Linked DNA regions of Arabidopsis thaliana. The protein of the gene in region 1 interacts with the protein of each later gene in a pairwise test. Each region holds a gene or a part of one and is shown on either strand. Other genes may lie near its edges.

Region 1 (5,366 bases):
AGGTTTTTTATAAATTTTATTTTTGTTCTTTTCTTTCTTACAGTTTTTGATCGTTAGCCGATTCCACTAATTTAACTTGTTTTCGCATCGTTTTGTAGATCTAATATACAAATTATTAACATTTTCGAAAAATTTTAAAATTTTTGTTTTTTTTTCTTTTTTATGGTTTTTAACTTTTAATTTGGATATTAGATTTACAAAATAAAATAAAAATTAACCGGATTTTGGATCTTGTCATTTGAAGTCGTATGCCGATACCACTAATTCAACTTGTTTTCACAATGTTTTGTAGAATTAATATACAAGTTTCATATTAATATATTTTCAAAAGTTTTAAATTTTTGTTTTTTATTCTTTCATTTTTACAGTTTTTATTTTTAAATTTGAATATTAATTTTTACAAAATGATATGAAAACTAATCGAATTATGGATCATGTCATTTGACCTTTGCATCGTTTTGTGGATTATATACAAGTTATGAATATTTTTTAAAAAAGTTTCATTTTTTTTTCTTTCTTTTTTACGGTTTTCCTCCCCTCATTGTTCTTTTATCAATCTTTGTAATTCCTTTCAAATACAACATTAACAATATACAAAATAGTAGTGAGACGAGACACAAGCAGTTCCTATGACTCGTTACATTCTTGTGTGATCACTATCAGTGTGCAAACGAGCTTTGTCACATCATTAAAAATCGAAACTTGCATCCATTGCAGAAAAAGCTTGTCAACCTAAGATCTCCAAGAAAATAAGGAATGCTTCCATTTGCATCTCCGGCGAATTCACTGTGAATTTTCCACTTGGCTCTGGCCTGCGTTGAAGATGATAGCTTTTTGAAGAAGACGAGGTTTTATGGCTTAAGAGAATATAGCATTCACAAAAGCCTCCGGATCAAAAGGTTGGAGATCTTCTACAGCTTCTCCTACACCGATAAACTTTACGGGAATGCCCAATTCCTCAACCACACTGACCTGCAAGACATGGAGAACCAGTTTCAATGACAGAGCTAATGAAAAATAAGAGCTTTGAATGAGATCAAAAATTTTATGAGATATTTACCACACAGCCTCCTCTAGCAGAGCCATCTAGTTTCGTCAATATCAAACCGGTGATACCAACAACCTGAAAAAAATGTAACCCAGAAACCTCAAGATTTTACGAAGAAATTCTAGTTTGGGGAGCCAGAATCACTAGGTTTAGGTAGTTTCGTATGGTACCTCGTTGAATTCTCTAGCTTGTGGAAGCATGTTCAAACCAGTGTTTCCATCAAGGACAAGTAGGATCTCCTAACAATTCCGTAAAATATTATTTTTAGCTAACGCATGATCGAAATTGGAGACTAACAGAGTGTAATAATATAAGCAAGATAACAGAATAGGATAAGTAAAAAGGCTCACTCACATTAGGTGCACCAGAGACAATCTTGCCCACTGCTTTTTTGCACGCAATCAACTCCTCCATCAAACTGTAATTAGTATGGAGACCTTACATAAAGAGGTGTAATGTTCCTCAGATTCAGTAAAGACGGTACATAAGCATGTTTTTTAAGTCAGCAAGCAAACTCTTGTATGCTTACGTCCAGATGTGTCGCACAGTACAACATCATAACCTTCCTCCTTCCCCCTTTTCACAGCCTTTGAGAGAACTATTCAGAAACAGAACAAACATGTTAAAGTTGTTTGTGCACCAAACACCGATACTGGCAAGCCAAAATAACAATGCATTGGTTTACCCGTGGCTGCTTTAGCCTTGTCTCCTTCAGCCACAACAATCTCACACCCAGTCCTCTCTGCCCATATCTCTAATTGGTCACTTGCTGCTGCTCTAAATGTATCACCTGCTGCCATTAATACCTATGACAAATCATCGCAGGATTGCTGATGAACATACTGATACTCAATTCTATTTCTACCTACCCTGGCAAAATTTCTCATCACCTATTTGAGCAACCACTTTCTAGTCTCAACTCTCAAGAGAAGAACAAAAAGGATCTAGTTTACATGATATCAAACATGAAAGGTGTACCTTAGTTCCTTCATTTTTCAATCTATGAGCCAGCTTTCCTGAAAAACAAAAGCCAGAATCTTTCACATAAATCTTTCTGTGGCTAAGCCAAAGCAAACCAGCTAGTCATTTGAATTCCCACTCTAAAGCATTAATGCCAATTTCCTTACCAAGAGATGTCGTCTTCCCACCTCCGTTCACTCCAACAATCATTATAACAGCTGGTTTCCTGATACACCATAACATATAACCAGACTTAGAACCACAATCTTTCATAACTCCACTTCAACAGAGCAGAGGCGTGAAAGAATAACAAGTAACACAGCTAAATGAAGAGAACCTAAAACCCAATTGAAGCTCTGTCTTGCTGTTTTTCTTAGCCAGCATCTCCAACACACTTTCCTTCAATGCATCCTACACCATTCAGAAGTACAATCAACTAGCTATAAACCCTAATCCCTAACATAACCACAATTTCGTTCAAATCAACCTTAATCTCGCTTCCTGATTTGAGTTTTCCTGACATGATATCCTCTCTTAGCCTCTCCACAATTCTAACAGTAATCTTCGGTCCAAAATCAGAAACCAAAAGCGCCTACATTGAATTATTCCCACTATTAGGTTTCAGGGAAACTCCATTTGCATCTGAAACCCAGAGAATCAACAATAATTCGAATTAAGATGGCTTTAAAATTAAAAAACCTCTTCCAATTCATCAAGAACTCGGTCTGTTTCAGCAAGATTCCAGAAGAGTAAGAGCTCGTCGATGACTGCTAGATTTTCCCTAGTCTTAGAGAATCCGGAGAAAACTTTCTCCACGTCGCTTTTGGCCTTCTCCTTAATCAACCGACCCAGCCGCGTGAAGAATCCGCTCGGTCCGGCCGAGCACCGGAACCGGGTCATTCGTGGACGAAATTCTCCTCTGAGAGGAAATAATCCGATCCGTTCGGAGGAGAACGGCGATATACGTCCGGCGAGAAACGAGAGGTGAGCAGAAGAAGTTGCCATGGCAGTTGTGCTAGAGAATCTGTGTAAGTTACTGACTTACTGGATAATAATCTTTTTTATACGCTGCGTTTTACGTTTCTATTGTTTCCCAATAATGAACCAATCTGCAAAAAAATGAATAATGAAAAACGCAGCGTTAATGCTTAATTTTTTGAAAACTATTAATTATAATTATAAATAAAAAAAATCCTCAAATACAAATTTGTTTTGTATATAATAGATTACGTCTTTTTATATTCTATCTATCTAGATTACAAGTTTTATCAAGGATATGTTAGTAAATTAGTGAGAGAAAATAGTTAATCATCTACAGTTATCATTTTGAAAACTATAATTAGTTTTATTTGTTTATATACTAATTTCTCTTTCAAAGGTATGTTTATATCTTACTTTGAACGATTTTCAAAGATATTGGAAATTTGAAATCATAAGATTTATCCTCAAACGAGCACAACAAGTAACTAGCAATCATTCAGCTACAATCACATCAACTATTTCATTCATTGATGGCGCCATTAAGCTTTGGTACAAAGTATGTATGTTTTAAAACCTACTACTATATTTGATTTCTTTTTCTTTTGCCTCTATTTCCCGTAGATTTCTCAAATGTCCATAGAACGACTTTAAGACTTGATCCAAAGGATGTAAACAAAGTCCAACAACTTCTTCACACGTGATTCAATTTTAACTCAAAAGTGCATTTGTGGCGAATACTAGTTTGACAATTTATATTTTGTTGGCAAACAATTTATAGGACTTCGCCTATTTTGATTATTATATACACCAAATTTGTTTGCTGAGGACGACCAAAAGTGAAGACTCCAAATTTGTTTCCTTAGGTATAACGTTTAACTTATCTTTTTCTCTTATGTTTCGCATTTGTCGTATATTTGGTACACCAACAGCCGAACACATTCATACAAGCGTCATAAACGTGACATAAGCAAAACGATGTCATGAACGATTAGATGGTATGTGGAAAAATGTTACTAAGACAATTTGCTGGTCTGTTTTCTTTAACGAGTACTTGAAATTACATATGCATGTACTACACAGTTATAGTACATACATGTGTTCCACACAAAAAATATAAATAAATCACAATCTTTTTTCCACAGAATTGATAATGTGGGTTGAGTTTTCCCATCAACGGATCGGATCTCTAAATTCAGTGGTTTAGACCTGACTTTATATATACATATCGTGTAAATTACTTTAGATTTTGGTTTGAGAGTCTCTAATTATAAAAGAAAAAACAAGTGGCCGATTATAAATTTCAAATCTGTTGAATTATCTAATTAACAATTTGCTTATTTTAATAAATATTTTTATTATTTTTGTTTTTGGTAGCCATTTTTAAATTCTATCTTCTTATATTAATAAGCACCGAGAAATACTTGGTGATTATTCTAATTTTTTATATTTTTATATGTATTCGGTCAAAATTTATAGATTTTTAACTCTATTACTCTATATTTAATGACTAGTACATGTTCTCCGTTTTTTGAATATCTGAATTGGCATTCTAAAAAAAAACACTTACAATATTCGTAAACCATACCTTGTAAGTTAGAATTAGCAATTCCATTCCCGCTATCCACCAAAAACGGTATAAGAAAGAACTAGTAGATATTGACCTAGATTGACTGTATACTTTTATCAAGTCAACACGACAACATTGTAGAAAAAGTACTACATAGTTGATATGAGTGCCTAATCCATGTGCCATGAAATAACTGGGCAACAAACAACAAATTTCCAGAAACAGTCTGTAATGATTTATTCATCAGTACTGCAAGCTAAGCCCATCGGTCATCTTGGGTCATATGATAATATACATATAATAATATCTCGCAAAAATACATTATAGAGTGAGCGACCACATCGTTGCAGTTTTAAACTATTGTTAAATATATGAACATTTCCACAGCTATTTAGCTTAGCTCACGACACGATGCTGCTGACATATGTAATTTACAATGTATAGCCATGCATGCATGTGTTTGTTGGCCAAGATTTTTCAGTTTTTACCTTTCCCAGCTATTACCTACATCCACTTTGAATTGGGATAAATCACGTAACTACGACTACAATACCAATTTGTATTAATGTAATTAACTGTTACGTCAAAATAATTGATCAAAATTATATATATACGCAAATGTGAGAAAGCGCGGCAGCGGCTCTAGTGTGTTCTGGGACGGTAAGTTGTTCTTCGTGCAATGCCAATGGCCATCACAGCTTTTCGTGTTAACGAGGGGGTTTAATTGCTCCTTAAATGTTTCAATCACTATATGATAAGAGCACGTTTGTTACATTAGTCTCAAAAGTGAAGATATACGATTAATTTATA
Region 2 (4,488 bases), 7.9 Mb from region 1:
ATGATGTAGAGGAGGTTTTAGTTTCATCACCCAAAGAAAGTGCTAATATTGATCTTTGTACATCACCAGTTAAGGCTGAGGCATTGTCACCACTTACGGCTAAGGCATCATCACCTGTTAACGCTGAGGATGCTGACATAGTATCGTCAAAGCCTAGTTCTGATTTGAAATCCAAAACTACATCTGTTTTCATACCTGATGGTGAACGTTTATGGGAAGGTGTGCTCCAGCTGAGTCCTTCTACTGTGAGCTCTGTCATCGGCATTCTAAGAAGGTTTGTAATAAATTGTTTCATGAGTGGTAGCAAACCTATCTCAGTATTTTTTTTTTATTCCACATTTCCAAATTTAGGTTTGCATATATGAATAGCTTTCTTTATTTAGTCTACATGTTACTACTTATCTATACTATTCTAGTGCTTATCAGCTCTATAAAATGTTTTTTTAATGAATATGGCTTCGCTGTTATTGATACCATGTTTACCAACCTGATTTTTACGCTTCACAGTGGCGAAAAGACTACTACAAAAGAGTGGCCTATTTTGCTCGAGATTAAGGGTAGAGTCAGATTAGATGCATTTGAGAAGTTTGTTCGAGAGCTCCCAAATTCCAGGAGTCGTGCTGTAATGGTATTTGTCTACACGTTTACCTCTATCATTAATGTACATGTTTTATATACGCATTCTGTGTTTGAGCCCCTGCAAAAGCTATTAACTGTGACGTTTAACCAAGCTTAAGTAGAAGCATTTAGGAAAGAAGAGGAGAGATTAACGGCCAATACTGATTTGTGAATGATTGAGAAAAATACATTACATCTGTGAATCACAATGGAGATAGATGGACTTACAAAAATATTTTCACCAGAACAATTGCATAGCTTATGTTTCTTGAATAGGCCTCCATATTCCAATAAAACTAAGACCTGTTTGTTCTCGATTCTATATGTATGTGATGAACTCGTTTATCCATCATGGTACTTCTGAAACCTTGCTTTCGTGTTACAGGTTATGTGTTTCGTCTGCAAAGAAGAGTGCTCAAAGACAGAACAAGAGAACATTTCCGAGGTATGAGCGTTGGTAGTTAACCAAGATTCTGTGTATCCAAATAAACGAAAAGATGATTAAAAAAACTTGAGATTTATTTGAATATTAATGATTTATTTGATCAAAACTGAACGCGAATCTGTACAAACTGAAAACCCAAACCGAATTTAAATTGAAACACTCCTAAATATCTGTAGAATGTCTAACTTGGTAACGAAATTTGGGCATTTGGTTTTGTTACTATACAGGTGGTGGATTCATACGCTAAAGATGGGAGGGTGGGTTATGCAGAACCAGCTTCAGGAGTTGAGCTATACCTATGCCCAACCCGTGGGAGAACTGTCGAGATTCTAAACAAGATTGTTCCGAGAAACCAACTCGATTTCTTGAAATCTATAAATGATGATGGTCTTATAGGTGTTGTTGTATGGAGAAGACACACAATTTAAAAAATCACCACTATCTAACAACTCTCACAAGAACCACCGTGAAAAGGGTTCTTCGTTAACCACATATAATACTTCTCGTTACAGTAACATGCTACAGGTCAACAATGACGATGGTGATGATGTGCCACCGGGGTTTGGCCCAATGACCATGGCTCGGGATGAAGATGATGACTTGCCTGAATTTAACTATTTTTCCAGTGGGGATGTTGTCGTGAACCGGACAAGCCGGTCTGTATCTGTAAGAGAGCTTATTCAAAAATATGGAAAATCTGAACCTTTGAGGAACCAAAGTTATAATGATAATGACAATGATATACTACCAGAGTGGCAGCCTCAATCTAACTGGACTCTTGGGGTTACTCATGTAAATGGTGGCTCGATGGTTAGACCATGTAGTGAGTGGTGGTCTCATCAGGATGGCAGAGGAGGATATTAATTGTTTTTTGTTTCACCTTAGCAATTTTGTGTTTGTTATGCATTTTCTGTTGCAGGCAACACTGCTTTCCAAATTTTGTGATTTTCTCTCAACAGTCACCGATATTTGGCACTTTATTAGTAAGATGGGCTTGCGCAGCCCGCTAATATATTGCTCCTTTCTGTAACAAAAAGTACAAAAGTAACAAAATCCACTCCTATCGATTATACTATAAAACAGAAGTGCAGAGAAAATTTCAGTCATGATATTTTTTGACCAGCTCGATTCAGAAATTTGGAAAGACTAGCTTTTTTTTCTCTCGGGTTTCACTTTTTAAAGGTCGTGAAAATTTGGGAATCACTGATCAATTTTGTTAATATGATTTCCTGATTTAGGGTTTCTCTGCATGCCTCTAGAATCAGCAAGTGTAAAGCAATTACCATGGTGACTCCGAAGCAGATCGATTTCTCTTCCTGTGGTGGTGGTGATAACTCCGACGATACCCTCTCCCATCGAGAATCTCCACGGAATCCTTCCTCAAAGCGTGCTGCTGCTTCCTTCGCAGCAGAAGCAGGCGAAGAGACTATGAAGAAGAAAAAGAAGAAGAAGAAGAAGAATTTGGGTCCGCCGTTGATCGTCCGGATCTGGAACGAGGAAGATGAGCTCTCTATCTTAAAGGTATTCTATTCATCTTCTCCGTTACACTTTGATTTGGTTTTGCATTCTGATTTTCTCAAAACCAGATTCGAAATTTCTCAGGGATTAGTTGATTACAGAGCTAAGACAGGATTCAATCCCAAAATTGATTGGGATGCGTTTTACAGTTTCCTCGGAAGTTCTATCGTTGCGAAATTCTCCAAGGAGCAGGTTTTGAGTAAGATCAGGAAGTTGAAAAGGAGATTTCATGTTCATTGGGAGAAAATCAGTGAAGGGAATGATCCGAAATTTACTAGGTCTAGTGATTCTGAAGCCTTTGGATTTTCTTCGATGATTTGGGGACAAGGTGAATTTGGTAATGATGATGGTATGGATAAGGAGATGGTGAAGGAGCACGATGTAAACGGAAATGGCGCAGCTGAAAATGGGACTGCTCGAATAGCACAGGAGAACGAGAGTGGGGAGGAGATGTTAAAGGAGCATGAGGAAACGTTAAATGAGAATGGTGCAGAGGAGATAAGAGACAACGACGAGACTGCTCGGAAAGCACAGCAGCTCGAGAGCGAGAGCGAGGAGGAGATGTTGAAGGAGCATGAGGAACCCTTTAATGAGAATGGTGCAGAGAATATAAGAGACAATAACGGGACTACTCAAATAGCACAGCAGAGCGAGAGCGAGAGTGAGGAGATGTTGAAGGAGCATGAGGAAGTGGCTAATACTGAACTTGTAAATGAGAATGGGGCAGCGAAAACAACAGAGAACGGGACTACTGGTGGAAAAGAGAGACATGATGACGATGATGATGATGAGTTATGCGCTGTGCAGGATGCATTTGAGGCTGTAATGTCGCAAGGTTTAAGTGGTTATCAAAAGAAGTTGCAGCTTGAGAAGCTGATGAACCTTGGAACTGGAAAAAGAAGAGAGTTGAGTGATGAATGGAAAGCGTTATGTGTTGAGGAAAGAAGATTGAATATCAAGAAGCTTAGATTTTCCGCCAAGCTTGCAGAGGCAGCTAATGATAGTTAGATGAAACCAATAAGCCGTTGTAGCATTTGGTGTTAATTAGGTTCTTAGTAAGCCATAAGCTTTAGTCTGTTCAGTGTATATCTTTGGATGTTGTCTTTGTTCTGTTTGGGCAAGTGTTTGTAAGACATTCCAGTTTTAACTGAAGTATCCAGAAGAGCCATCCATGTCCATTGTTGGATATAATAAATTTCATTACTTTCTTGTTGCACCAATCAGTCAATGAAGTGGCAAAACATTTTATATGCATTCCCTAACAAAAGGCATTTACAATGTAATTTTTACATTTTTAACCACTAAAAGGCCAGAAGAAGTGCACAAAGAAAGACTGACCAAATAATAAAATAATTTTTCTTGTCGGTAGTCACCAAAACCATGCTATTCCAAAATGCACTTCCTTTGCAACAAACGGCTTATATCCATATGAATCCGACAGAGGAAGACAAAAGGATTTAGTCTTGTGATGTAGCAGAGTATTCAAAAAGCAAACGTTTGGAAGGTGCAGATTGCAGAAGGACACGCAAGCGGCTCGTGAGCTGGTAAATAAGTGTCCATTGCATTGCCATCTCAGAATCTTTCATCTGTCTTACCACAGAGGCCTGTAGATAAAAGACAGCAAGAACCGTGGAGTGCTTATTTTGGTTAGGTTTTGAAAAAAATGAGGCCATATGGAGAAGAAAGAAGATTTCAATGTTTATGCCTGACCTGAAGACGTTTTCCGAGCTGCACTTCAACTTCCGTTCCAAATGATATGTTGCTCGCCAGAGACTTGAGAGGATCCACAGTTGGATCAACAGAGAGTAAACTTGGGATCTGCGGAGCATACACCAACCTCCATCTCGCCTGACCAAACTCTCCTTTTCCTTCTATCCTTGGCATTATGGTTCCAAGTGTTGCGGTTG

The links.
Region 2: the proteins of CPFTSY (region 1) and AT2G25650 interact in a two-hybrid assay, tested with the Arabidopsis thaliana proteins (one large-scale study listed by BioGRID).

The regions. Positions count from the first base shown.
Region 1 is NC_003071.7:18,848,895-18,854,260, reverse strand, and holds CPFTSY (signal recognition particle receptor protein, chloroplast (FTSY)), read right to left. Parts: upstream 3,174-5,366; 5' UTR 3,014-3,173; coding exon 2,708-3,013; intron 2,601-2,707; coding exon 2,496-2,600; intron 2,420-2,495; coding exon 2,346-2,419; intron 2,235-2,345; coding exon 2,176-2,234; intron 2,065-2,175; coding exon 2,027-2,064; intron 1,855-2,026; coding exon 1,734-1,854; intron 1,647-1,733; coding exon 1,578-1,646; intron 1,486-1,577; coding exon 1,403-1,485; intron 1,288-1,402; coding exon 1,219-1,287; intron 1,124-1,218; coding exon 1,061-1,123; intron 973-1,060; coding exon 859-972; 3' UTR 520-858; downstream 1-519. UniProt on the Arabidopsis thaliana protein: Signal recognition particle receptor protein. Binds GTP specifically. The GTPase activity is inhibited by the N-terminus of the protein until binding to the thylakoid membrane. Activates the GTPase activity of FFC/cpSRP54 when bound to the cpSRP complex.
Region 2 is NC_003071.7:10,912,418-10,916,905, forward strand, and holds AT2G25650 (DNA-binding storekeeper protein-related transcriptional regulator), read left to right. Parts: upstream 1-2,093; 5' UTR 2,094-2,347; coding exon 2,348-2,584; intron 2,585-2,665; coding exon 2,666-3,589; 3' UTR 3,590-3,799; downstream 3,800-4,488. Other genes in the region: AT2G25640 (SPOC domain / Transcription elongation factor S-II protein), read left to right, coding at 1-274, 508-628, 1,004-1,063, 1,291-1,491; emb2410 (embryo defective 2410), read right to left, coding at 4,039-4,185, 4,292-4,488. UniProt on the Arabidopsis thaliana protein: Probable transcription factor. May play redundant roles with GEBP and GPL2 in cytokinin responses by regulating the transcript levels of type-A ARR response genes. Involved in stress responses.